7 linked regions of the Rattus norvegicus genome follow. The protein of the gene in region 5 interacts with the protein of the main gene of each other region in a pairwise test. Links are inferred from orthologs where the notes say so. Each region holds a gene or a part of one and is shown on either strand. Other genes may lie near its edges. The genes, in order: Hspb7, Casr, Pelo, Klhl12, Flna, Adamtsl4 and Myoz1.

Region 1 (4,180 bases), on a different chromosome or scaffold from region 5:
ATGTGAACCTCCTCAGGATTAGGGATGAGGGAAATCACAGAGAGGTCTCAAAACTCACAAAAACTCTGCCAGGGGGGCAGAAGGAGCCCTGTGTGGGCTGGAACAAACAGAGGCTTCCATAGGGGAGGGGGGAGGAGAAGAGAGAGAGAGAGAGAGAGAGAGAGAGAGAGAGAAGAAGGAGGAAGAAGAGGAGGAAGAGGAAGAGGAGGAAGAGGAGGAGGAGGAAGAGGAGGAGGAAGAGGAGGAGGAAGTGGTGGTGGTTCTTTGGGAAGGTGAAGATTTAGAGGAGTGTGTTCCAAAACCACTTCATGGGCTGAGGCCAGTTCCCCTTCTGAAAGAGCCTCCCCTGGCTTCTGTCCTGCCCAGCACCACAGAGTCTGGGCTTCTACTCATAGGCAATGAGAAGAAAGGAGATTCTTGGACACAAGGGTCTGGCACATCTGGATGGAATCCCAGTCATTCCGACATAGTTAGGTTCAGCCCTTCCTTTCCTAAGAGGCCACATTTCTTGGTCTGGGAACTTGGTCTTTTTTGAGCTGTGGAAGATCAAAGACAGTTCTGCCTGGAAGGGTCAGCAGTGGCCAGAGACACCCTGGAAGCCAGAGCTAAGACACCTGTCAGCGTTTTCCTTTACCTGAATATAAAGTCACGTGACTAGGACTCTAGGCAGGCAGCAGCTCTGAACTTGAGGTAGAGCAGACTGTTACCGGCAACTTAGCCTCTCAGCCTTTAAAGACAGTTACGGATGTATCTGCTCTTTCTCTGAAGCTGGGCCCAACCCCGTGCCCCACAGCCCCAACTCCAGATGCTAGCTCTCTTTTATTCTGCCAGTTATGGCCCCGAGAGTAGGGATGAGGTAAAGAATCACCAGTCCTTGTGGCAGTTGACAGGGGTCACCCACACGTTCTATCTCCCTTCCCTTGGCTTTCTCAACCTTCCCTAAGAGATAGCTGAACCTGGAGCTCCACGGAGCCCCGCAGGGTGCCTGTATGTACACACCCTCTCCTCATGAGTCTAATAAGGGAGGTGCAGGCCCTGAGAACCAGTTTGAGAGGAGAGTAGGGTCCCAGACTAGTGAGGGACAAACCACAAAGACCTAGGGGCAGGCACAGGGCAGGATCCACCCCCTGCTTTGGCAGGTACAGAGGCCCGTGGGGCTGGAGCTCTGGGCTTGGAGTGCCAGGCAGTGAGCTCAGCCCTCCAACCCTGCCCTCCTGTGTCAGGCTGTCAGCAGAGCCGTTTCTCCCAAGAAGATTTCCAGGCCCCTCTGGGCCATGAAGAGGCCTAAATTTAGCCAGCAGACAAGGGGCTGGCCTCGAGCCCAGGGACAGTTGGGCCTTATAAAGCGCTGGCAGTCAGGGGCCCCGGCACGCTTCTCTGGAGGCCTGCACCCACACGTTTCTCCAGCCCAGCCCCTGCCCGCCCGGACAGGGCCCCTGCTGCCTGTGGATGAGCCATCGGACCTCCTCCGCCTTCAGAGCGGAGAGGAGCTTCCGTTCCTCCTCTTCTTCCTCCTCCTCCTCCTCTTCTTCGGCCTCCCGTGCCCTTCCAGCCCAGGACCCACCCATGGAGAAGGCCTTGAGCATGTTTTCAGAGGACTTTGGCAGTTTCATGCTGCCCCACTCGGAGCCCCTGACCTTCCCAGGCAAGTGCTGGGGCTCTGAGGGGAGAGGAGGGGCACAGGTGAGGGACGTCTGCTCCAGGCCATTACTGAGCATACTGTGGCCACCCACCTACCAGGAATAGGTGCTGCATGGGTTACAGCCACATGTGGCTGCCAAGACAGACCTGGCTACCAAGACAGATGTGACTGGGAAACAGGTGGGCCACCTGGGACCCTAGGGATGAGATGTGATTCAAACAGTCCCACATGGCCAGTATCATAACGGGAACCCAGGAGGTTGGTGCTGGGACTGAGGGGCGACTGGCCCCTCAGAGCTTCCAGGTCTAGGTCTAAATTGCTAAAGGAGGGACTCGTATGCATAGACCACCTCACTCCATCCCTCAGGGACAAGGTAGGCTACAAGAGGGGCTGCTGTCTGGGAGAACCACTCATTTCCCCAAGAGACGAGCAGAGATCCGGGGGGTCTGAGGGTCAGGCTTGCTAGGTGACCAACTTACAAAGCAGCCTTGTCCACAGCCCGTCCCGGGGGACAAGGAAACATCAAGACTCTCGGGGATGCCTACGAGTTTACTGTGGACATGAGAGACTTCTCCCCTGAAGACATCATTGTCACCACCTCCAACAACCACATCGAGGTGCGGGCTGAGAAGGTGAGTCTGGCCCCTGGCTCACCCCAGAGTCCCCCACCTTCGCTCCTGCAATCTGATAGTCTAGCTGGTTCTGCCCGCCCTACTTGTCACCTGTCTTTTCAAGAATTCATACCCTGATGTGTGTTCCTTCCCTGTCGTACTCACCCAGGGCAAACTGCAGCCCTGTCCCTGTGGGCTTGAAGGTCAGGGACCTTTACACATCCCTCTCCAACCTAAGGTTCACAGGACCTGTCTTTGGGGGACATGCATGGCAGCCAAGGGCCGACTAGGGATGGGCGAGGGATCTTTGGGATGTGGGCAAGAGAGGAACCCAAGTGATTGAGACATAAGGGGGTGAGGAGACCAGGAGAGTGACCCAGGTGGAAAGTGACCGCAGTGGAGTAAGAACAGCTCCCTGACACAGGGTAGAGGAGGTGGCAATGACACACCCAACCTGGGTAGCATGGTCCATTCTTATCATATCTTTCCCTCGCCTTCATCCCAGAGCCAAAAGGGTGGGTCCTGTCTTGGCACCTCCATACTGGGCCTGAGGCTGAGGGTCACATCCATCCTATACCTCATGTACTTCACCAGAATCTCAGGGTGCCTAGCTCATCAGAGAAGGCATGGCCAGCACAGACAGCAGCTGCCACAGCCCTTAGGCAAGCCGTGCTGATTCTTAGAGGATATTTACCAAAGCTTTCTTGCCACCCCCAAGCCTGGCCGGCTCCCTTAACTCAGGCTGGCCACTGGGAAACCCTGCCAGAGGTTCGAGGACTGAGCCACTGGCTGCACGTGCCAGCCCCACGTCCCAAGAGTGACTCAGCCGGTCGACTCCACTGGACGCTATGTGCTAACTGGGCTGCAGGGGAGGGCGGCGGCCCTGGTCGGTGGACACTCAGGGTGCCTGGGGATCCAGAGGGCACAGTTGTGTCATCTCCCCACTATGGCTCGAGAGTCCCAGACTTCCAATCACTGCTGTAGCAACTCAGCCCCTATTGAGCCCCACCCAACCCCACTCTATACCCAGCTTCCCTCGGGACCCATAGAATGCCTCTGCACAGCCCTTGGCTCCTGGCCATCCCAACACCCCTGGTCAGATCTTTTGAGCCTGAAAGCTGAATCCCCCGTCATAGAGTGGGGTAACTGAGGACAGAGAGCAAAAGAGAGACTCTGGCATCACCAGGACCCAGGGTGGGGCTAAGGCTAGGGCAGCCATTCCTGACCTGTTATCCGTTCCCCAGCTGGCAGCTGATGGCACAGTCATGAACACCTTTGCTCACAAGTGCCAGCTACCAGAGGATGTGGACCCTACGTCGGTGACCTCGGCCCTGAGGGAGGATGGCAGCCTCACCATTCGAGCACGTCGTCACCCACACACAGAACATGTCCAGCAGACCTTCCGGACGGAGATAAAAATCTGAGGGTCTCCCCACCCCTGGCCTTCCCCCCATCTCCTCCCCCACTGGCCTGCTGGTGAGGTCGCCATGACCCCTGACAATGCCCCCCCCAGAACATCTCAGCCTAGGCCCCAGTCACTCCACACACTCTTAGGCCCCAGGTGGGTCACCCCTGTCCTCTCTACCCAAGGCAATCCAGGGACCCGCTTACCCTCACCCAGATAGGCCCTCCCTATCTTAGTTTACAATAGAGGGGCTGAGGTAGCCACTTGGGGAGCAACATGAAGACGGAGTCCGTAACACAGGGTGGCATCAATGGCATTTCTGCAGGGCAGGGGACCAGGGGCCCTCCCAGCAAGGGGAATATGAGAGACTGGCCACAAGCAGTGCTTCTGGCCCATGCAGACTGCCTCAGGGAAGGCAGAGAGACAGCCATGACTGTCACCTCCCTTGTAACTCTGGAAGCCTCAAACCCAGGGCTACCTGTCACCCTGAGCCTCTAACAACTACTTGTACCAGCAGGGACA
Region 2 (3,500 bases), on a different chromosome or scaffold from region 5:
TTCTCGGGGAAAAACACAAGCTGGCAGTTTGGAGCTGAATGAGACAGGACAGACACTGGTGGAGCTAGCCACAGGGTGATTGGCTGATGGGAGAGCAATCTCAGAGCAATGGCTTGGCAAGCTAGCCTGGATAAAGAGATAACCAGGTGAAGTATGGGCTGGCAGGCTAGGAAGCTCGCAGGTGCATGGCCCTGAGGAAGGACCTAGTGTGATTTTAAAATTACACGCAACATACATACATACAGGCAAGTAAAACACTCACACACATGAATAAACAACAAACAAACAAATGAGCTTGAAACCCAGGAAAAACATCAAAGAGAGGGGGGAGGGAGGGAGGGAGGGAAGGAAGAAGGGAGAGAGAGAGAGAGAGAGAGAGAGAGGGAGGGAGGGAGGGAGGGAGAGAGAGAGAGAGAGAGAGAGAGAGAGAGAGAGAGAGAGAGCGCATATAACACCAGGCACCAGCAGGCAATCTGTCACAGCCTTGACTCTGGAGTCCTGAAGTCAGAGCAGATGGCACACTGTCCACTTAGAGCCATGGAGCTTTAAAATAGGGACACACTATTGGGTGGCAGGGTTGGAGGCAGAGAAAAGAGTATCACATGAATGTCTATAAACACCTGGAATATCAAAACAATATCCGGTGAGGCCTTTCTCATCATCTCCTGCTCAGTGGATGCAGTACTTAAGCATGCTTTCCCTAGAAGGTCAGTGGTTCTAAGTACCAGCTCTGTCCAGCTTTCCCATGGACTTTGCTGATCTCCAAGGCAGCCCAAGTCCTGCACAGGGACTGTGAGGGGCTGATCCTTTACCTGTCTCTCCACTGTACTCTCCATCAGGACACTCCACACACTCAAAGCAGCAGGTGGGCTCTCCCTCGATGATCCCCTTCCTGGTCCCTGCCTGACAGTCCCGGCTGCAATTGGAGAAAGGCACCTGAGGGCAGAGAACATAGAAATGAGAGGTTTGGGACTGGGGTGTCAAGAGTCAGTCTTACAGCTTCTTTGACACAGGCAAAGTGAGGAGTTTGAGTATAAGAATCAGTGTGGCTAGCTCTGGGCTAGTCCAGATATAGAGAGAGCCAGGCTTCTTGGTCCTGTTCCTTAAAAGCAAAAGGTGGTAAGGCCAAGTGTGGACGTACTTGACAGTTTGGTTCAAACTCAAACCATGCAAAGTCCTAGATTTCACTTGATCTCAGTAGCAACTTCATGAGATTTGTGAATAAATTGTTAATATATAATTAATAAACATACATGGTATTTTTGTAGTTGCTCCCACAACTTTTTCAGAAGTCAGTTTGACTCCCGGGTTTGTTGGATACCTATTTGTGTGCTAGCTTTTCAGATCACGTTCCCATCAAGAATTGAAATGTAATTTATAATTCTGTCAAGTAGTCAGGGACATGAATGACTGCATGTGTAAGGACTGTCTTTATCACACGTTTACTAATCTGTCATGCCCACTGCCTGATAGAGGACGTTAGGATTACAGGGAACTGTACAGGAAATAGCTTCCAAGGAGGAAGGGAGATGAGCCACGCCCAGTGACGGATAATTGCGTGCATTACTGAGGACACGTGATAAGCTGATAGCACCATAGCTGTGTGCCAGTGATGGGATCGCCAGTCAGTTTGGGCTCCATTCATTTGAAAAGTAAACAAAGATGTAGTTAGTGGATGTAAGAGTTTAACCTGTGGAATCTCAAACCTCCATTCTGAAAAGGTCATGACACATGTTGTAATGGAGGTGAGGACTTGCCCATTGTGGATGAGATTCACTGTCACAGGAGACCTCCCCATGGTGAAGCCATCCCACAGACTGGGAAAATTAAGCAATTTGGCAATAAGAACAAGCTGACTCTTTGGTTTTTTGTCATAAAAAGAGGTTCACAACCCTCAGCAGAAAGGCACTGCAAAGAGTAATGTAGTGGATCTCAGCCAGACTCCTAGGATGTTGTAGAGGATGCCTGGTCCCGAGGCTGCTTCTGCAGAGGAGCCAGGGTGCCGCATCTTGCTCTATTCTAGTAGCCTCATTTTATCTTTGTTGCTGTGAGAAACACCAGAACCAAAAATAACCTGAGGAGGAAATGGTTCCTTTCCTTTAGGCTGCAGTCCATTGCCAGGGAAAGCCAGGGCAGGAACTTGAGGCAGGAAGTGAAGCAGAGGCCATAGAGGGATGCTGTTTATTGGCTTGCTCCCCCTGGCTTGCTCAGCTTGCTTTTTTTATGCAACTCAAGTCTACCTTCCCAAGGGTGGCAACAGCTATATTGGCAGGTAATTCCTTCATCAATCATTAAATCAAAAATGCTTCATGGACTTAAACGCAAGTGAATCTGATGGGGCTTTTTTTTTTTTTTTTCAAATTGAGGGTTCCTTTTTTTCCCAGATGATACTACCTGGGCCAACTTGACAAAAGAAAACCTAAGCAGTATATTAGCATACAGCCACCCAGAAAGTTCAGCGTACCCTATGTCTTTCTCAGTGAGCATCCTCTGAGTGGTGAACTTCTGGTTATTAGTCAGGCTTTCAGATATGGGCAGGACCTCCTGACCAGAGTCACAAGCATCTTCCCCTTGGTTAAGGGGCTCCCAAAGTAGAAGGAATGGCCCTTTCGATTTCTATATGGGTCAGCCTGTAGCTATTTCAATGTCCTTGGTCTGAATCCAGGTCTATTTTGGGCTCACATCCCTACATGACTAATGGAGATTGGGGTGGATGGAAAATGCTATAAAAGATTGTCTAATGCATGCTGGGTATTTAGCCTCCCTGAACCTCAAGCAATGAAGGTCATTATTACTTCCGGGTCATTGTGACAACCTAAAAAGCAGTCCCTTTTATCTCAAACTTGAATCTCCTATACAAGGTGGGTAAAATGTCTCCTTCAGTGTCATTTAAGAGCCACTGACTTGAGAGATGTTTGCTTAAATATTTTTGCCATGGTTGGGGAAGTTTATTGTCTGGGAAACTTTATGACTAGCCAGGGAGTCAAAAGCATGGTTAGTTATGAAGCCTAGCCTCCGGGGCTTCCTCTCATCACTTAAACACTCTTGTAGTTCATGGGAACCCTGGACACCCAGAGCTGGGGAGCTTAGGAAAAGACATTATCCTAAAGGCCTTTGATGAATCCCAAGACCCTCCCAAGCCAGCAGTTCCCTGTCTGTAGTACATTTTGCTCATACCTCTCTGGAGAACCCACTCCACAAGATCTTCTCCTCATTGATGAAGAGTCTTTCTCCCTTCTTGGCATACACATTGTAGTACCCAACTTCCTTGAACACAATGGAGCCGTCCTCTGGGGAGAGGTGCCAGTTGATGATAGAATAGTTCCCCACCAGATCACCACACTCATCGAAGGTCACCTGCTCCCCCATGTTGTTGGTGAAGTTCAGGTGCCGTAGGTGCTTCAAGACCTGAAGAAGACAAGGATAAATCTATAGGAGCCATGGATGGCTACTTGTGGCTTTGTTGGCAGTGTACTGTGAATATCTCATTCCAGGGAAGA
Region 3 (3,673 bases), on a different chromosome or scaffold from region 5:
AACGTTGATAGTGCTCCGGGGAAAAGCTTGCATTCATTAAGAGCCTATGAAGCTACCTTCTTGCTTTAGTGAGACCTGTGTCTGGTTTGGTGAAAGGCCTTGAGGGAACAAACCAAAGTGAGTTCCAGGTCTCTGGGATAGGAAGATGGTGAATTAGATGGGGGTTGGGAGAGGGGGGGCGAGAGGGGAGGATAAAAAGCATGTAAAGTTGCACACACCCCACACACACACACTCACACACCAACCTCTAAAAAAGATGCCTGACATCAGTTAACATGATTAATCCCTCCTTTAGCCCTCCCTCTCATCAATTAAGGCTAAAGAGCTCTGCTTTAAGATCCGTATACAAAATGTAGTGAGAGTGTGTGTTCAGGACTTCTCTGACTCCCCTTTAGAAAGAGGCTTCTTATTTCAATCGCCACTGTACCAAAGGGGGTTGGGGGAACGGAATGGATTTTTTTGTTTGTTTTTCTTTTCTTTTCTTTTTTTCTTTTCCTTTACAACCAATTCTGTGGCTCTTCTTTGGAGATGGTCATATTAGATCGGTTTATCTTTACTTCCCACATCCTCAGCTTTTGGCCAATCAGTGGCAGGGAAGATCCAACGCTAATCTATTGCAATGCGGCTCCCACACTAAGCGCCCCAGAGACTACTGCGCTGAGTCTGCCAACTTTGGATTCTGGGATTCCCAGGACATCAACCAGGTCAAACTACACAGAGGTCCACCAGGGATACATTCCACGCATAGTTTCTGCTCTCTCTGGTCTCTGTCCTTTAACATCTGGGTTAACTGGATGGTGCAAACAGGGTAACGAGGCGCAGAAAACAGCTGGACATATTGCTGAGCCCAGGCTGAACGGGACTAATTCTTAGAAACTACTTCTGGATATCTCCGAGCCAACAAGCTTGTCATTCAGTCCGAGTGCGGGTAGGAAAAGAGCAAGCAAGGCTAAGCCGTGTTTTTTGACTTCGGAGGCAAGTCTGCACTTTTGGGCGGGCGTTTTTCACTTTCATATAAGTTTTGAAGCTGGCTTCACACCCAGGGTGGAAAAATCACAAACTCAGCTCAAATACACATGTTCGCACGCATGTCCTCCGTATGTCCTCTCACACAGGGATGTGTGAGAAAAAGCTCAGCTTTTTAAGAGCGGCGGCCAGAGGCGCTTACTTTGACATTTACCTAGGGTTCGCCTTTCCGTTTACTGCGCCTGCGTGAGCGCGCGCGCGCGCAAGCCCACAGGCCCCGCCTCTCTGGTAGGGTCGGTGACAGACGTGCGCCGGGAGGCGTGCTGCGCCTGCGCGATCGTCGCGTCAGCCTCTTGCGCGGGGCCCGCGACTGGAAGTCCTGAGTTGTCTGTGCTGAGCGTGAGGTCTGCCGCGCCGCGTGGGCCGGCGCGCGAAAACGGAGAAAAGGCGTGGGGGAAGCGCCGTCCCGGGCTACAGGAGTCAGAGGTAGTGTTTCCTTCCGGTCTGAACTCACCGCCCCTTCCCTGCCCCGCCCCCTCCCGCCTGGGGGCTTCCAAGCGCCTCCTATTCTGAAGTGAGCCCCTGCCGCGGTCATGAAGCTTGTGAGGAAAGATATCGAGAAGGACAATGCGGGCCAGGTCACCCTCGTCCCGGAGGAGCCCGAGGACATGTGGCACACCTACAATCTAGTGCAGGTGGGCGACAGCCTGCGCGCCTCCACCATCCGTAAGGTCCAGACCGAGTCCTCCACAGGCAGCGTGGGGAGCAACCGTGTCCGCACCACCCTCACTCTTTGCGTGGAGGCCATCGACTTCGACTCCCAGGCCTGCCAGCTGCGGGTTAAGGGCACCAATATTCAAGAGAATGAGTATGTCAAGATGGGGGCTTACCACACCATCGAACTGGAGCCCAACCGCCAGTTCACCCTGGCCAAGAAACAGTGGGACAGTGTGGTTCTGGAACGCATCGAGCAGGCATGTGACCCGGCCTGGAGCGCTGATGTGGCAGCTGTGGTCATGCAGGAGGGCCTCGCCCATGTCTGCTTAGTCACGCCCAGCATGACCCTTACCCGTGCCAAGGTGGAGGTGAACATCCCCAGGAAACGGAAAGGCAACTGTTCCCAGCATGACCGGGCCTTGGAGCGGTTCTATGAACAAGTGGTCCAGGCCATCCAGCGCCACATAAACTTTGAGGTTGTAAAGTGCATTCTGGTGGCCAGCCCTGGATTTGTGCGAGAGCAGTTCTGCGATTACATGTTTCAACAAGCTGTGAAGACCGACAACAAGGTGCTCCTGGAAAACCGCTCCAAATTCCTTCAGGTAAAACTCCTATGGAGAGAGTTAAGAGTGGGCAGAGGGGTTGCTGTAAACGGTTCTGGTTCTAATGTTTTATTTAGAATGGTGAGGAATAGAAGGCTTAGCTGGGAATATAAATGAGATTGTAACGAGAACGGAACTGTGCAGTACCTAGCACTTTCATAAGGCAACCTTTGCCTAAGTCCTTAAACAGGGTAGGCTGTATTCATGCGTTTCCCTTACGTCATCGGGGGGGGGGGCTGATAAATGGATACTTTCAGAGATTCTTTGTCTTTTATAATTGTGATTTCTAGGTACACGCCTCCTCTGGACACAAGTACTCCCTGAAAGAGGTCCTATGTGATCCTACTGTAGCGAGCCGCCTTTCAGACACGAAAGCTGCCGGGGAAGTAAAAGCCTTGGATGACTTCTACAAAATGTTACAGCACGAACCTGACCGAGCATTCTATGGACTCAAGCAGGTGGAGAGGGCCAATGAAGCCTTGGCGATTGACACCTTGCTCATCAGTGATGAGCTCTTCCGGCATCAGGATGTGGCCACCCGGAGCCGGTATGTCAGGCTGGTGGACAGTGTGAAAGAGAATGCGGGCACCGTAAGGATATTCTCCAGTCTCCACGTGTCTGGGGAACAGCTTGGTCAGCTGACTGGAGTAGCTGCCATTCTCCGCTTCCCTGTGCCGGAACTTTCTGACCAAGAGGATGATTCAAGTTCTGAAGAGGATTAAGACGGAAACTCAATAGTTTCTTCTTCTACAGCATCCTTGACAAGTGCAAGGCCGCACTTGTTGGTCCTGCTGGGGTTTCATGTGTGATGGGTTCCCATGAAGTGTTTTATGGTTTGGTTGGCAGGACATGTATTCCAATTAAATAAACCACAACGATGTCCAAGCATTATGTCTTCTAGTTCCAGTTACTGTTCTGTCAATACCTGGAAACAACAATTTGTGGATCTAAGAAAGAAAAGCTGTTTGGGGGTTTGATTACGAAACCCCATATACCTGCTTGACTTGGTTTTCCTCTGAAAACGATTTAAATCTCTCTTGATGTCTATTTCCATTCAATGTGGTATTTCTGCCTTTCATTTCATGATCCTTTCTCTCACCTCTTTCTAGGTTTTTTTCCCCAAGATTTTAACTACATTCACTACTTGAAGTGGTAGCCAAACGGTCAACAAAAGCCAGTCTAAATGTTATTTTCTTTTAGAGATTTGTTAAACATCATTTTAAATATGTGCTTCTTGCTCTTTGTTGTTCTAATCTATTTTCTGTAGAGAAATTTTTTTTTCAAACAGTAGAGGTTTGATCTACTAGGATTCTCAGCATAGTCTCAGGCCTTTACAGATGAGGTGAAAGTGTGTGGTTTGCTTACTGTGTGGCCGATGAGTGGCAAAG
Region 4 (3,500 bases), on a different chromosome or scaffold from region 5:
GCGTATCAAGAGTTCAAGGCCACCCTAGATTGTATGAGACCCTGTCTCAAACAAGTAAACAAATATTGGAACACCCTCCCCCCCAATTAAAAAAAATTCAGGCTAATTAATGTCACATCTCAAACTCATTTTCCCCTTCTTTCTTAAGCCTTCTATTGGTTAGTTTTCTTGTTGCTGTGATAAAATACCCCACAAAAGCAACTTAAGGAAGAAAGGGTTTATCTTGGTTCACAGTTGAAAGTTATAGTTCATCCTGAAGAAGTCATGGCAGAAAACCCATGAAGCTGTGGGTCATGTGTACCACAGTCAGGAGGCGGAGAGAAAAGCTGGTGCCCGCTGAGCTTTTCCCCTTGGTTAGGTGTGGGTCATCTTCCTAAGGAAAGTTTGATTTAGGGTTTCAGCCTCCAGATCCTAGCTCCAGATCTCTATACCAAAATATAATGTAAAGATTGACACAAAGGGCGTGAAGATGAGCTTCACTATCAGCAGACTGATTTGGGAAACACACCAACTGGTCTGTCTGTGAGGGGGGATTCTGAAAGGTTTAACTCAAGTGGTAAGGCCTGCCCTTAATGTAGGCCACACTATACCACTGGCTAGGGACCCACATGGTTGCCAGTATTCATATGCAGAAGCTTTTAGAGATGTGTGTACAGCAGTGGTTGCTACTGTTGTATATTTCCAATGCATACTAAAAACTTCTTGGAGTCAAACTACTAAAACTGTGAGTTGAAGATCCCAACAGGAAGCAGATGGTACAGTTCTAAGGAAGGCTTACTGTATATATAAAGAGCTGCTTACAAACTTATTCATTTGGAGAAACTGTAAAAGACCATGGAGACTATAGCTCTAGAACAGCCAAGCTGTCACCAGCCCTCAGTCTAGCCGAGCTAAGAAGTGGGTATCAGAGCCTGAAGGGAAAGTGTAGGCCTTGACATGCCTGCCTTTGGGCAGAGCTCCTCCCAGCTAGGAGCCATTTGGAGACCTTACTGGCACGGTGTATAGGGACTGTTTTTCTAAACTAGAGAGCAAAGTACAGTGTGGAGGTAGACACTAATACAGAGATGTATTTTCTATGTAGGTATATGTGTATATGTGCACATAGGCATGCACATGTAGACCAGAGGTCAGTCTTTGGTGCTGTTCCTCAGACCATCCACCTTGGCTTTTGAGATGCAGTCTCTTATTGACTGGCCTGGAGTTTCTGATTGGGCTGGCAACAAGCCCAAGGATATGCCTGTCTATCCACTAGTAGGGGCATTACAAGTATAGGCTACCTTGTCTAGCTTTTTTTTTTTTTTTTTTTTTTTGGTTCTTTTTTTCGGAGCTGGGGACCGAACCCAGGGCCTTGCACTTCCTAGGTAAGCGCTCTACCACTGAGCTAAATCCCCAGCCCCCTTGTCTAGCTTTTTATGTGGTTTCTTGTGACAGAACTTGGGTCATCGTGTTTACATGGGAGGACTTTTACCAAAGTGGGCCATTTCTCCCACCCATCTAGAGCACCATTGGATATAGATGTGAGAGCTGGGCTAATGGTGAATGCATTCCTATAACACAGAACTTGGGAGATAAATGCAGAAACACCAGATGTTAAAACTTATCCTATGCCCTGTTGTAAGTTTGAGATCAACCTGGGCTACCGGGGAACCTGTCGCAGAGAAAGGATGAAGTGGGTTGGGGAGCAAAGGAAGGAAGGAGAGAGATAGCTTTGGGGAAATTATTTTGGAGAAGACAATTTTTCCAAGAGAGAGAGAACATGTGTCTTGTCTTTTTGAGACAGTGTCTCCCTCTAGATCAGCCTGGCCCAGAAGTCACTATGTAGCCTTGAGTTGGCCTGAAGTCTCAGAAATCCTCCAAGTCCTGGAGCTGGGATGTGAAGCCAGCTCCCTCAGGATTCGTACTAGTCCTTACATGCTTTTGTCTGCATACACAACTTTCTGCTTTATATGCGCCATTGTTATTACAACGTTAGAGATGCCTGGTCCCCTTCTGTCTTTTAGCCTTTTATCCGCTGTAGTTTACAGTGCAGGGACCTAGTTGATGAAGCCAAGAAGTTTCACCTGAGGCCTGAACTTCGGAGTCAGATGCAAGGACCCAGGACAAGAGCCCGACTAGGTAAGCTGGTATTCCTGGCAGAATGGAGGTGTCTTTTTTTTTTTTTTTTTTTTTTTTTGGTTCTTTTTTTCGGAGCTGGGGACCGAACCCAGGGCCTTGCGCTTCCTAGGCAAGCGCTCTACCACTGAGCTAAATCCCCAACCCCTGGAGGTGTCTTTCTACTCCTTTTTCAGACAGTGTGATATCTGTAATACATACAGTAGACTTGTTTTCAGACCTGATTTTAATCTCCTTAGGCAAGTAGCTGCCATTTTAAGCTTTTATTTCCTGTAGTCTTTATGGCACATAGCTATTAGAGATTCAGTTAGATAAAGAGAAAACCATCTTACAAATTATCATATATTATGTAGCATCAGATTTCTACCTCAGCGTTTACATAAAGGGCTTGGAGCTGGAATGTAGCTCGGTTGTTAGTGCTTCCCTATCCCTGAGTTCAAGCCTCAGCACAACAGAAATGGTGGTAAATGCCTGCAATTAGGAGGTAGAGACAGGAAGAGTAAGTTCATCCTTGGGCACATAAACAGTCAGAAGCCAGCATGATAAACTGTCTCAAACAAACACAGTCCTAAAACTACAGGGCTTCTGACAGTCACATATCAAGGGTAAAATCCTGACTATGAGGCCAGAGTTGTGGTACAGATTTCTGGTTTACTCCTTACCTTAGGCAGGAAATTTACTCTGTCTGCTGATGCTTTATCTGTGACCTGGGAATCAACTTCACATCCAGCTCTAAGAAGGTTATGACAATTAGATGAAGAAGGCTAGGAAAAGGCTAGGAATAGCTACTGTCACATAAGTGCTGCCTATGTTAGCAAACAGAGAGAGGTTCAATCTAAGCCCTGCCAGTGGTGATCGGCGATAACAATTTATCTGATCCTAACTGGATAGGACAGAGCACTAATCCCAGCACTCAGGAGGCCTAGTCAGGTTGATCTCTGTGAGTTCAAGAGTAGCCTGGTCCAGATGGTGAGTTCCAAAGCATCCAGGGCTAAATAGTAGACCCTGTCTCCAATGACTGACTCACTCTCTCTCTCTCTCTCTCTCTCTCTCTCTATATATATATATATATATATATATATATATATATATATATATATATATATAAATACTTATTTGATCCTATGCTTTTACCCCTAAAATGAGGCTTAGTTTCTTCTGAGTGGGTTTTTGGGAGGACTGAATTGGAGCACAGATAAGATACCTAGCTGGCACAGAGTAAATATCGGCTATTTTTATCTTGTTCCCTGTTACTTCTCTGACAAGAGAGCCTCCCTGTGACTGTGTACAGCTGTTTTGTAGATTATCATTTATGAAGTATATATGAAGTGGTACTTCATTTGCTTTTATTTTTTTAAGAATTTATTTATTTTTATTATATATGTTTC
Region 5 (3,500 bases):
CCCAGCAAGGTAATTAGTTTTGGGAGGCTATAAGGGGAGGACCCATTTTTCTTCTCTTCTCTGTTCCCTTCCCTTCCCTTCTCTTCTCCTCTCCTGTCCTCTCCTCTCCTCCCCTCTTCTCGTCTTTCCTCCCTTCCTTCCCCTCCCCTCCCCTCCCCTGTCCTCTCCTCTGTGTCTCTGTCTGTCTCTGTGTCTCTGTCTCTGTCTCTGTCTCTCTCTCTTTTAGCCCTGGCTGTCTTGGAACTCACTCTATAAACCTGGTGGACCTCAAAATCACAGAGATCCATGTGCTTCTACTGGGTGGAATTAAAGGCTTGCACCGTCATGACTAGCCTATTTTCCTTTCTTAGGGTCCCCTATCTTCTCCAGATTTTTCCTGAACCTTTGTCATTTCTATTTTTATGATTGATGAGTGGATGACCTATTAGGCAGCCTATTCCTGTCATGTCTCTGGGTAAGGAAGAAACCTAGGGCAAAAGAAGATATGAAAGGTTGGGCTGATAGTTGCTTTCTTATTTCTTCCTTCCCTCAGGTGAAGGCATTTGGACCAGGGCTGCAGGGGGGCAATGCAGGCTCCCCTGCCCGCTTCACCATTGATACAAAGGGAGCTGGCACTGGTGGCCTGGGCCTGACAGTGGAAGGCCCCTGTGAAGCACAGCTTGAGTGCCTGGACAATGGGGACGGTACATGCTCTGTGTCTTATGTGCCCACTGAGCCTGGGGACTACAACATCAACATCCTTTTTGCTGACACCCACATTCCTGGATCCCCATTCAAGGCCCATGTGGTTCCTTGTTTTGATGCATCCAAGGTGAAGTGCTCAGGCCCTGGGCTGGAGCGGGCTACTGCTGGTGAGGTAGGGCAGTTCCAAGTAGACTGCTCAAGTGCTGGCAGTGCCGAGTTGACGATTGAGATCTGCTCTGAGGCAGGACTGCCAGCTGAAGTATACATTCAGGACCATGGTGATGGCACACACACCATTACCTATATTCCTCTTTGTCCTGGGGCTTACACTGTTACCATCAAGTATGGTGGCCAGCCTGTGCCCAACTTCCCCAGCAAGCTACAGGTGGAGCCTGCTGTAGATACCTCAGGCGTACAGTGCTATGGGCCTGGGATTGAAGGTCAAGGTAAGGAGACCTGCTGTAGGGGGTGGGTAGCAGTTACAGGGTGCAAAGAGTCCTACAGCCACAGCCCCCTCGCTATGGCCTTTTCCAGGTGTCTTCCGAGAGGCAACCACTGAGTTCAGTGTAGATGCCCGGGCTCTTACACAGACTGGAGGGCCACATGTCAAGGCCCGTGTGGCCAACCCCTCAGGCAATCTGACAGATACCTATGTGCAAGACTGTGGTGATGGCACATACAAAGTGGAATATACTCCATATGAGGAAGGTATGAATGTGCTGGGGGTACCTTAGGAAGGGCAGGGAATAAGTGGAAAAGCCTAGTTTTTCCTGACCTGTCCTGCCCTCCAGGAGTACACTCCGTGGATGTGACTTATGATGGCAGCCCTGTACCCAGCAGCCCCTTCCAGGTGCCTGTAACAGAGGGCTGTGACCCCTCCCGGGTGCGTGTCCATGGGCCAGGCATCCAAAGTGGTACCACCAACAAACCCAACAAGTTCACAGTAGAGACTAGGTGAGTGAGCCACTGAAGATGCAGGGGCAGGCAATGGGCTTGGGAACCCTAAGTAATGACAGACTGTCTGTTTGGACCAGGGGAGCTGGCACAGGTGGCCTGGGCTTGGCTGTTGAGGGTCCCTCAGAGGCCAAGATGTCTTGTATGGATAATAAAGATGGCAGCTGCTCGGTAGAATACATCCCCTATGAAGCTGGAACCTATAGCCTTAACGTCACTTATGGTGGTCACCAAGTGCCAGGTGAGAAGATGATGACAAGGATGAAACTAGGACTCTGCCATATTCACAGTGTCTTACATAGCTATCATCCTTCTGTATCAATCCCCAGGTAGCCCCTTCAAGGTTCCTGTACATGATGTGACAGATGCATCTAAAGTCAAGTGTTCTGGACCTGGCTTAAGCCCAGGCATGGTCCGTGCCAACCTCCCTCAGTCCTTTCAGGTAGACACAAGCAAAGCCGGAGTTGCCCCACTGCAGGTCAAAGTACAGGGGCCCAAAGGTGAGACTTCACATACCTGGTAACAGGGAGTTATAGAGGCATATTTATTTTAGGCCCAGTAGCATGTGGGTTAGCACTGATAGTAGAAGGGTTTCAGGTAACCACAAAATCAGGCAGAACCCTAGAAAAGGTATAGTAGACAGGACTTGACCACTGACTAGATATAGCACGGGGGAAAGCCTAAGGAATTCCTAGAATTGGGTGTTAAAAACTTAAGGTCTAGTCTTTGGGGCCAGCCCTAGTCCTTCAGGGAGATGGGGGTGGGAATGGGTACAAAGAGCCAACCTAAGGGTCTGTCTTTGGGACCGGGGCTAGGCCTGGTGGAGCCAGTGGATGTAGTGGACAATGCTGATGGTACTCAGACTGTCAACTATGTGCCCAGCCGAGAAGGGTCCTATAGCATTTCTGTGCTGTATGGTGAAGAAGAAGTGCCACGGAGGTAAGAAGCACATTCACTTGCTTGTTGGGGGCAGACTACATACTTAAGCTTTTCCGATGGTTCATAACCCCTTAATCTCACAGCCCCTTCAAGGTCAAGGTGCTGCCCACGCATGATGCCAGTAAGGTGAAGGCCAGTGGACCTGGACTCAACACCACTGGTGTGCCTGCCAGCCTGCCTGTGGAGTTCACCATTGATGCCAAGGATGCTGGGGAGGGTCTGTTGGCTGTCCAGATTACGGTGAGCTTCCTAGGGAAGAGAGGAAAGGAACCAGGTCTGGGCAGCTGGGATGTAGGACTACAGATAGGCAGGCAGCTCAGTTTTGCTAACTAGTCTGTCTGGAGCTGTGCTCTAAGGACAGGGCCTCTGCTTCTGGTCTGTTAATGTAACTACATTAGGATGTGTACAATTTTCTTCAAGTTGAAAGAAACAAGCTTTCCTAAACATACATTCATTGCTATTAGGTATGGTATTAAAACCTGTAGCCCTTCAGATTCCCTACATGCAATATTCTCACAGAACAGGTATAATGTTGCAACACTTGAGATCTTTCATATAAGCTCATAGTGCCCTAGGATAGGCCCAGGGCTGAGCCTGGGCACCAAACTGGTCATATCTCTTGTCTTGTCAGAGAATGCTGGATTTTGGGGGGCTTCAGTTCTGCTCTCTGCCACAGGCAGGCAGCCACTGGGGCCATGAGGGATGAAGGGCCCAGAAGCTGTATCCCTGTTATATATCGCTGTTATACTAGTACTTGACGTATTTGTGAAAGGCCTGAGATAGTCCAGGTCTTGCTAGGCTTGGACCAACTTCCTTGCCTGCTCTTTGCCTCATAGGACCCTGAAGGCAAGCCCAAGAAGACACACATCCAAGATAATCATGATGGCACATACACAGTGGCCTATGTGCCAGATGTGACAGGC
Region 6 (3,500 bases), on a different chromosome or scaffold from region 5:
CCCGGCCTCCCCTTGGGGGTGGCTTCACATTCCCACAGGGAGACTTCAGCCCCTAGTATCAGGTTTGGCCCACCCAGTCTCCCTGCTGATTCCCTCTCTTTTAGTCAAATACCACAAAAAAGGCTGGAGTTTGACCCTACCTGTAAATGTGACCTTGGACAACTAATAACCCTTGAACCTTGAGACACTAATTCTGACCTTTTCCCCTCTCTAGCTGTTGGGTCCTTCTCTTCAGACACCATCAGAGGAGGACCAGGTCCCTGAGGGTCTCTGGGGACCTTGGGGCCGATGGGCCTCCTGCTCCCAGCCCTGTGGGGTGGGGGTGCAGCGCCGGAGCCGAACATGTGAACTGCACCCAGCCCTGTCCCTCCCTCCCCGACCCCCAAGACATCCAGAAGCCCCCCAGCCCCGGGGCCAGGGTTCCAGACCCCAGACTCCACGGGATCCCCAGTCCCTGTATAGGCCACAGCCTCGGGGAAGGGGTGGCCCTCTTCGAGGTCCTGCTTCTCAAGTGGGGAGAGAGGAGACCCAGGAGCCTCGGGGGGCCCAGAGGTGAGGCTCTGAGGGCAGAGCAGAATGGGGGTTAACAGAAAGGTGTAGGGGACTCCAGCGCTGCAGGCCAGTCTTTCAGGAAGCAGACCGGGGAAACAGGCGAAGAGGTGACTAAGTCTACACATCCTCCCAGGTTCCGTGTTCGAGACCCTATCAAGCCAGGGATGTTCGGTTACGGGCGAGTGCCCTTTGCTTTGCCCCTGCACCGGAGCCGCAGGCTTGCTCACAAACCTGGACAGCCCAAGGACTCCTCTACAGCGGAAGAGACACTTCCATCCCAGCCTCCAAGCACAGAACCAGCCTCTGAAAAGCACAGCCCCCACATGCAGCCCCCTGAACTGCGTGCCCAATCCCGTTCCCCCTCAGCTGAAACTCCAAGGTCTGGAACTGCTCAGACAGAAGTGCCCTCCAGAACCAGTTCTGCTCCCTCCGACATGGGTATCCCTGCACCCACTTCCTCCTTTAGAGACAGTAGGTCTTTCCAGGGATCCCCTGAGCCACGAATGCCAACTTCCCAGGGAGCAGAGCGACAGCCACATCCTTTCTCTCCTGTCACCCGGAGCCAGCTGAGCCGGAGGCACTGGAGACCTCCGGGGAGTCCTCACAGGTCCCCAGATGGCTGGCTGCCTCTGACAAGGGACTCCAGCCCACACTGGAGCCTCTTTGCTCCCAGTAGCCCCACTCCAGAATGTTCTGGGGAAAGTGAACAGATGAGAGCCTGCAGCCAAGAGGTGAGCTGTTCTCCAGGTTTTGCACCCTAGACTTTCACTGTTCCCTGACCCGAGTCCTCATCTTGATAGACTTGGACTCCAGGGTGGTGGTTCTGACTTCAGGGCAGACGCCTTGGTGTTCTATGGAGTTGACCAACCAGTTCCCAAGCCTCGTTGGCCATGGCCCACACCCCAGGTTTCCTCTGCAGCTCTGACTCCTGTATATCTGCCTTCTCAGCCTTGCCCCCCTGAGCAGCCAGACCCCAGGGCCCTGCAGTGTGCCGCCTTTGACTCCCAGGAATTCATGGGCCAGCTGTACCAGTGGGAGCCCTTCACCGAAGGTGCAGTTTCTAGTTCCCCTGGCAGGGCGACTCAGGTTTGGGTGGCCCCTCTCTCCCTCCTGGGTGTCCTACTTTGCAGGTCACCCCAGAGGCTTAGCCCAGACCTAGAGAAGGGAGCTGTTTTCTGGGAAGCGATGGGTGGATGGTCAGGACAGGCAGCAGGCTGGCGGAGGGAGCTGGCTAAAAGATGCTGTGATCTGGCAGGGCATGAGTGAGACCTGTTCACTGGTCCCAGCAGGACACTATCTTCTGTTACTCCCAAGTTACTGTCCACTTGGACTTGTGGCTATGTCAACTCCACACTGACAAACCTTCATGAGCTATGAGCCTATGATCGTAGGTGTCGGAGACCCTTTTGAGGAGTGGTAGGATGGCTCAGTGGGTAGAGGGGCTTGCCTCAAGCCTGACGGATGACCCGAGTTTGGTCTCCAGAACCCATGGTAGGAGGAGAGAACCCACTCCTGCAAGGTGACCTCCTTCTCTCACGTGAGCACCCCAATCCTATACACACCTAAAACAAAACCACAAGAATCTTTTCTTGATGGCCAGGTGCAAAACTTTCCCTTTTTAGGAGAATGAAATGGGAGACTTAGTCAAATCGTAAACTCGAGACTACACAGCATAACAAAGATATAAGCCATAAAACCCTAAGCGTGGGAAACTCCCCCTCCCTCCTTCCACACCAACTTCAGGAAGCCTCACACATGATAAAAGGTAGAATGGCTGTCAGGGCTCTGGGGTGCTTCTTCCCGGAGGGACCCCCAGCTAATTAATCTATATCTTGTCCTTTAGTTCAAGGCTCCCAGCGCTGTGAACTGAACTGCCGCCCCCGTGGCTTCCGATTTTATGTCCGTCACACTGAAAAGGTGCAGGATGGGACCCTGTGTCAGCCTGGATCCCTAGACATTTGTGTGGCTGGACACTGCCTGGTAAGGGAGGGCAGGGTGTTGGTGAGGGAGGGCAGGGTGTTGGTGAGGGAGGGCAGGGTGTTGGTGAGGGAGGGCAGGTTTGTATATGTGCACCTTCCCTCACACACTCTCGAGATCGCCCCTCCCCCCAATTTGTTACAAGAGTGAAAACACCTGACTGAGGTGGCCAGAGGGAACATCTCTGCTGCCAGTAAGGGTGGGTCATAGGCAGGATCCTACCAGACTCGGCTAAAACTACTCCAAAAGTGCTTGGGGGCCCAAAGAACACTCTCACCCAAAGCACAAAGAGCCGAGCAGGGGCCGAGCTGAGGGCCCTGAGTGGAGTAGGCCAGGTGTGAGGTGTGCCTGGCTTCTGTGTGGCCCCTGCCTCACCTCACTCTCCTCAGAGCCCCGGCTGTGATGGGATCCTTGGCTCTGGCAGGCGTCCGGATGGCTGTGGAGTCTGTGGGGGTGACGGCTCTACCTGCCGTCTCGTTTCGGGGAATCTCACTGACCGAGGGGGCCCCTTGGGCTATCAGAAGATCCTGTGGATTCCTGCGGGAGCCTCCCATCTTCGCATTTCCCAGTTCCGACCCAGTTCCAATTACCTTGGTGAGAACTGGCCCAGGCCATCCTTTTTCTCTGATCTGCCTTCTACACCCTCTTCAGCCGAGCAAAGGGCCAAGCAGGAAGGGGCTGGTGGAGGGTGAGGAAGGTGGGTGGCCTAGGTCCTTATTTCTGGACACAAAGGCTTCGGAAGATCACTCAGCTCAGATTTCTGTCTTTCAGCACTTCGAGGGCCTGGTGGCCGCTCCATTATCAATGGGAACTGGGCTGTAGATCCTCCAGGATCCTACGCGGCCGTCGGGACCGTCTTCCAGTATAACCGTCCTCCTCGGGAGGAGGGCAAGGGGGAGACTCTGTCAGCAGAAGGCCCTACCACCCAGCCTGTGGATGTCTATGTGAGCCTGGGACAGGAGCTGGAGTGG
Region 7 (4,023 bases), on a different chromosome or scaffold from region 5:
AGGCTAGCCTGGAACTCAGGGATCCACTGTCTCTACCTCTCAAGTGTTGGGATTAAAGGTATGCACCACCATGCCTGGCATAGTTAAAAATTCTTTTTATAATTATTTAATTTATATAAGTACACTGTAGCTGGGTTTTTTTTTAAGATTTATTTATTTATTTGATTAAGAATACCAGAAGAGGGCACCAGATCTCATTATAGATGGTTGTGAGCCACCATGTGGTTACTGGGATTTGAACTCAGGACCTTTGGAAGACCACACAGTGCTCTTAACCGCTGAGCCATCTCTCCAGCCCACTGTAGCTGTTTTGAGACACACCAGAAGAGGGTATCAGACCCCATTACAGATGGTTGTGAGCCACCATGTCCTTGCTGGGAATTGAACTCAGAACCTCTGGAAGAGCAGTAAGTGCTCTTAACCCACTGAGCCATCTCTCCAGCCCCATAAAATTATTTTGTTGCTACCTCCTAACTTATTTTGCTACTGTTATGAATTGTAATGTAAATATCTGATATCTGACCCTGTGAAAGGGTTGTCCAGCCCTAGAAGGTCAGGCCCCGCATGTTGAGAACAGCTGTACTGAGAGGAAAGACAAGGAGTGGGGTTAATAGGCTTCCATCACATCATCTGCACTGGGGTTGACTAAGGTGGCCCCTCACCAGGTCAAGATCTAACGCTCTCAGACAGAAAGTCGACCTATTCGGGAAGTTTAGAAGCAATGCCGCTGTGAAAATTTCCATCTTATCTTCAGTGTAGGGCCTCAATCCCTCCCAGCTCTGAATACACTCATGGGTCCCTCCAGCCCCGGTCTGGAATGGCCTGAGTGGCCCACAAATCATGTTTTCTGTTTCGTTTTTTGTTTTTCCCTATACCTACTCTTAATTCTTACCCAGCACTAACTGTCTGCTCCCTTTCTTTCTGCCTCTGCTGTCCATTGCCTCCTGAGATGCTTCTTTGGATCTCAAGGCAAAGGGGAAGAAGCACACCGCTTCGGCTGACTGAACCCTGGTCAGACGGTCTGCTGGGAATTTTCATAGGCCTTCCCTCTTCCTGAACCTCAGGCAAGGAGGGCAGGATCCCGGCTCAGGGTCTCAGTGCCCCCGTTTGTGCCATTTGAGCTGCTTGTGCTCATCGACTCTATTAATAACCACCCCCCTCCCTCCCTCCCTCCCCCACTGCCAGGGCTGCCCCTACGCTTGCCCAGCTCAGGTTCTCCAGTCACAGCAGCTCAGTCATCCAAAGCTGCTGGACCCCAGGGAGAGCTGACCACCAACTGAGAGGCTGGTAAGTCTGTGGTTCTACCACAGGAAGGGGCTGGAGCCCACTTTTGTGACCTCCATGTTTGCAATCGTGATTCTTCGTCCTCAGGGAGTGGTCTCTCTTCTCATCTCTGCTCAGCTGCTGGTGGTCCAGTTGGAGCTGCAGAGTTGGAAAGAAAGGGACCTGAGGAGTTGGGAGGAATTAAGATGTGTGGGGAGGTACCTGACAGATGGGGAGGGGTAGTTTGAGATGCCACTAGGTTGGTAGAGTGTCGTTGTGTTTGTGTGACAGAACACCACAGAAAACAGCAGGACTGTTAGGGAGAGACTGGACTGTGTGTCTTTTTCTACCTTGTCCCCACCCACAGCCAGATCTCATTCCTGTGTTTCTGTCCTCCTACAATTCTCTACCCCCATGCATGATATTGCTGAGCTGACATCTGTCCCAGCTCAAACGCCCTCAGCTTGCTCTCAGGCCCAGCTCTGCAGCTTGGGGTAGGAGTTGCCTGAAGAAGCAAGGAACACACCCATGACCTCTCGGGCCATGTTCCAGTTGGCTTCCTGGAAGAACAGCTTCTCCTTCCTATGGAGAAGGGTTTGGCTGAGTCTCCTCAATACTAGCAGAACATTTCTCTACCCCCTTAGACCTTGATGGAAGCCTGAGCAGGAGACCAGAGTCTGGAGCCATAGTTGTAGCCTGCTATCCCAACACAAACAAGGACTTTAAATCATGCCAGGCCCAAGAAGCCTGAGTGCATTGCTTTGCCAGTGTTGTATTTGAACCCCCTTCGGCCATAGCTGTGTTTCCGATGCCCATACAGGAGTTATGGAAAGCGAACATAGCCGGTCGGTAAGACGTAAGGAAAGGGGTGCAGTTCCGCCTCCTGTCCTGCTTCCAAAGAAAACAGAAGTCTTGGCCGTTTACCTTCTGGGGATACAGATCACTGTGAAAACACATGCACGCATGCAAACATGAACACATGGGAAAAACTCTGAAGAAAATTTGTCCTCGACCCCAAGTTAAGTAGTTCACTGTAGTGAACATGCTTGTTTTCCCCTTTCCTGTCTTTTTTCAAGCCTGCTTCCTGCTCCTTCCAGGTCAAATCCCCCTCCACCATGCCGCTCTCGGGAACCCCGGCCCCTAACAAGAGGAGGAAGTCAAGCAAACTGATTATGGAGCTCACTGGAGGTAGGGCGTGCTTGAGCGCCCAAATGTAGGATTTTTAAGAGCATCCCTGAATCAAGAGCTGCAGAAATGATGTAAGACCGGTTATAAGTCAGAGTGAAAAAGACAAGAAGAATGGCAGCTGTGGAGGGTGTGGGAGATGGGGTGATGGGAGAGGTAAGAAGAGCAAGGAGGAAGAGACAGGAAGAACCAGAATTCCCTCTGTGGCCTCCAGGCCTTCCCACTGATTACTCGGAGACAACACCGGGCTGAGATTCAGGACAGGACCCATGGTCAGTGAACCTGTGGGAGGCACAGGCTAGGCCTCACTGAATGGTTAACTCCTCTTTCCTTTCTAAGTTCGAGGGAACTTATGTAAGCATTTAAAATAGGAAACTGCACAGCCCTACTCCCTGGGGATGCACACGAGTTACCAAGTGTGAAGTTCTCCTGATACCTCAGGAGTCAGAGTTCACTGAATAAAGAGAGAAAGGAGAGGACAAGGATCTGCGTTTAGAGATGGGCTTTCCCTGGCCGGTGTAATTCCTCCAATGGCCACTGTCTGTGGTGTTCTCTTCACTTGTTCTCCTTCACTCCAAGCCCATGCCCCTTGGCCGTGTTCTTTCTCCACTCGAGTATTCAAACACTATATATGGTTCCCTTTGTCCCCTTGAGTTCTCACTCTAAACCATGAAATCAAAACTTCTTATGAAATTAAAACAAAAGCACTTCTCATGGGCTGTGTAGGGTGGTGCATGCCTAGCACTCAGGAGATGGGGGCGGGGCGGGGGCGAGGGCGAGGAAATCTTTGTGAGTTCTAGGCCAGTCCGTGTTGGGGTAGACCAAATCAACATGGTTCCACATGGAGAGGTTTAATGAGAGAAGAGTAGAAGAGGGGAGAAGTAAAGGCCGGCCATGAGCACCAGGAGGGAAGAGGGGAGGGGAATGGGGAGAGAAGGAACAAAGGGGAAGAGGAAAAGAGAGCAGAGAAGAGAAGAGCAAAGAGAAGGAGGAGGGGGGCAAGCAGCCCCTTATATAGTGTCAAACACAGCTGGCTGTTGCCAGGCAACTGTGGGGGTGGAGCTTAGACAGAATACCAATAGTCAGTGCTACAAAGTGAGACCTTGTCTCAAACACACATACACACACACACACGCACGCACGCACGCACGCACGCACGCACGCACGCACGCACACGATGGTGAGATTACTCCGTGGTTAACATCACTTGCTGCTCTTGCAGACGACCCAGATTCAGTTCCTAGCACCCACACGGTGGCTCACAACCATCTGTAACTCTAGGTCCAGGGGATCTGAGTGCTCCTCTCACTTCTGTGAGTACCAGACATGCACATGGTGCACATACATACATGCAAAGAAAACACTCATACATATTAAACATAACTAGATCTCTGAAAAATCTTTTAAAAGACACACAAGACAAACAAAAACTTGTAAGCCAGACAGCCCTGTGCCCGAATTAATCTCTTTTAGAATACACTTAGCTGTGGGTGGGTGGCGCTTCCCTTCCCAGTCCAGAAAGCCTTCATTTCTTCTTTCTGTCTCCTCTTCTCTACCTCCTGGATAAGGCGGTCG

The links.
Region 1: the proteins of Flna (region 5) and Hspb7 interact in binary tests that used the Homo sapiens proteins (3 or more experiments, as listed by UniProt). The two-hybrid records come from large-scale screens. The link is inferred for Rattus norvegicus from reciprocal best matches to the Homo sapiens genes FLNA and HSPB7.
Region 2: the proteins of Flna (region 5) and Casr interact in a two-hybrid assay, tested with the Homo sapiens proteins (2 studies listed by BioGRID). The link is inferred for Rattus norvegicus from reciprocal best matches to the Homo sapiens genes FLNA and CASR.
Region 3: the proteins of Flna (region 5) and Pelo interact in binary tests that used the Homo sapiens proteins (3 or more experiments, as listed by UniProt). The link is inferred for Rattus norvegicus from reciprocal best matches to the Homo sapiens genes FLNA and PELO.
Region 4: the proteins of Flna (region 5) and Klhl12 interact in binary tests that used the Homo sapiens proteins (3 or more experiments, as listed by UniProt). The two-hybrid records come from large-scale screens. The link is inferred for Rattus norvegicus from reciprocal best matches to the Homo sapiens genes FLNA and KLHL12.
Region 6: the proteins of Flna (region 5) and Adamtsl4 interact in binary tests that used the Homo sapiens proteins (3 or more experiments, as listed by UniProt). The link is inferred for Rattus norvegicus from reciprocal best matches to the Homo sapiens genes FLNA and ADAMTSL4.
Region 7: the proteins of Flna (region 5) and Myoz1 interact in binary tests that used the Homo sapiens proteins (3 or more experiments, as listed by UniProt). The link is inferred for Rattus norvegicus from reciprocal best matches to the Homo sapiens genes FLNA and MYOZ1.

What each region holds. Positions count from the first base shown.
Region 1 is NC_086023.1:159,009,379-159,013,558, forward strand, and holds the start of Hspb7 (heat shock protein beta-7), read left to right. Parts: upstream 1-1,380; 5' UTR 1,381-1,449; coding exon 1,450-1,645; intron 1,646-2,140; coding exon 2,141-2,274; intron 2,275-3,497; coding exon 3,498-3,677; 3' UTR 3,678-4,180.
Region 2 is NC_086029.1:77,803,114-77,806,613, reverse strand, and holds part of Casr (extracellular calcium-sensing receptor precursor), read right to left. Parts: intron 3,409-3,500; coding exon 3,178-3,408; intron 937-3,177; coding exon 813-936; intron 1-812. UniProt on the Homo sapiens protein: G-protein-coupled receptor that senses changes in the extracellular concentration of calcium ions and plays a key role in maintaining calcium homeostasis.
Region 3 is NC_086020.1:48,530,402-48,534,074, reverse strand, and holds Pelo (protein pelota homolog), read left to right. Parts: upstream 1-1,404; 5' UTR 1,405-1,559; coding exon 1,560-2,285; intron 2,286-2,575; coding exon 2,576-3,007; 3' UTR 3,008-3,173; downstream 3,174-3,673. UniProt on the Homo sapiens protein: Component of the Pelota-HBS1L complex, a complex that recognizes stalled ribosomes and triggers the No-Go Decay (NGD) pathway.
Region 4 is NC_086031.1:48,468,765-48,472,264, forward strand, and holds part of Klhl12 (kelch-like protein 12), read left to right. Parts: intron 1-2,000; coding exon 2,001-2,115; intron 2,116-3,500. UniProt on the Homo sapiens protein: Substrate-specific adapter of a BCR (BTB-CUL3-RBX1) E3 ubiquitin ligase complex that acts as a negative regulator of Wnt signaling pathway and ER-Golgi transport.
Region 5 is NC_086039.1:157,168,844-157,172,343, reverse strand, and holds part of Flna (filamin-A), read left to right. Parts: coding exon 1-9; intron 10-532; coding exon 533-1,130; intron 1,131-1,218; coding exon 1,219-1,392; intron 1,393-1,475; coding exon 1,476-1,638; intron 1,639-1,718; coding exon 1,719-1,879; intron 1,880-1,967; coding exon 1,968-2,138; intron 2,139-2,453; coding exon 2,454-2,577; intron 2,578-2,660; coding exon 2,661-2,817; intron 2,818-3,413; coding exon 3,414-3,500. UniProt on the Homo sapiens protein: Promotes orthogonal branching of actin filaments and links actin filaments to membrane glycoproteins. Anchors various transmembrane proteins to the actin cytoskeleton and serves as a scaffold for a wide range of cytoplasmic signaling proteins.
Region 6 is NC_086020.1:185,929,297-185,932,796, reverse strand, and holds part of Adamtsl4 (ADAMTS-like protein 4 precursor), read left to right. Parts: intron 1-214; coding exon 215-552; intron 553-685; coding exon 686-1,283; intron 1,284-1,500; coding exon 1,501-1,603; intron 1,604-2,395; coding exon 2,396-2,532; intron 2,533-2,918; coding exon 2,919-3,123; intron 3,124-3,300; coding exon 3,301-3,473; intron 3,474-3,500. UniProt on the Homo sapiens protein: Positive regulation of apoptosis. May facilitate FBN1 microfibril biogenesis.
Region 7 is NC_086033.1:3,692,390-3,696,412, forward strand, and holds the start of Myoz1 (myozenin-1), read left to right. Parts: upstream 1-1,223; 5' UTR 1,224-1,287; intron 1,288-2,339; exon of another isoform or gene 2,340-2,360; 5' UTR 2,361-2,378; coding exon 2,379-2,451; intron 2,452-4,016; coding exon 4,017-4,023. UniProt on the Homo sapiens protein: Myozenins may serve as intracellular binding proteins involved in linking Z-disk proteins such as alpha-actinin, gamma-filamin, TCAP/telethonin, LDB3/ZASP and localizing calcineurin signaling to the sarcomere.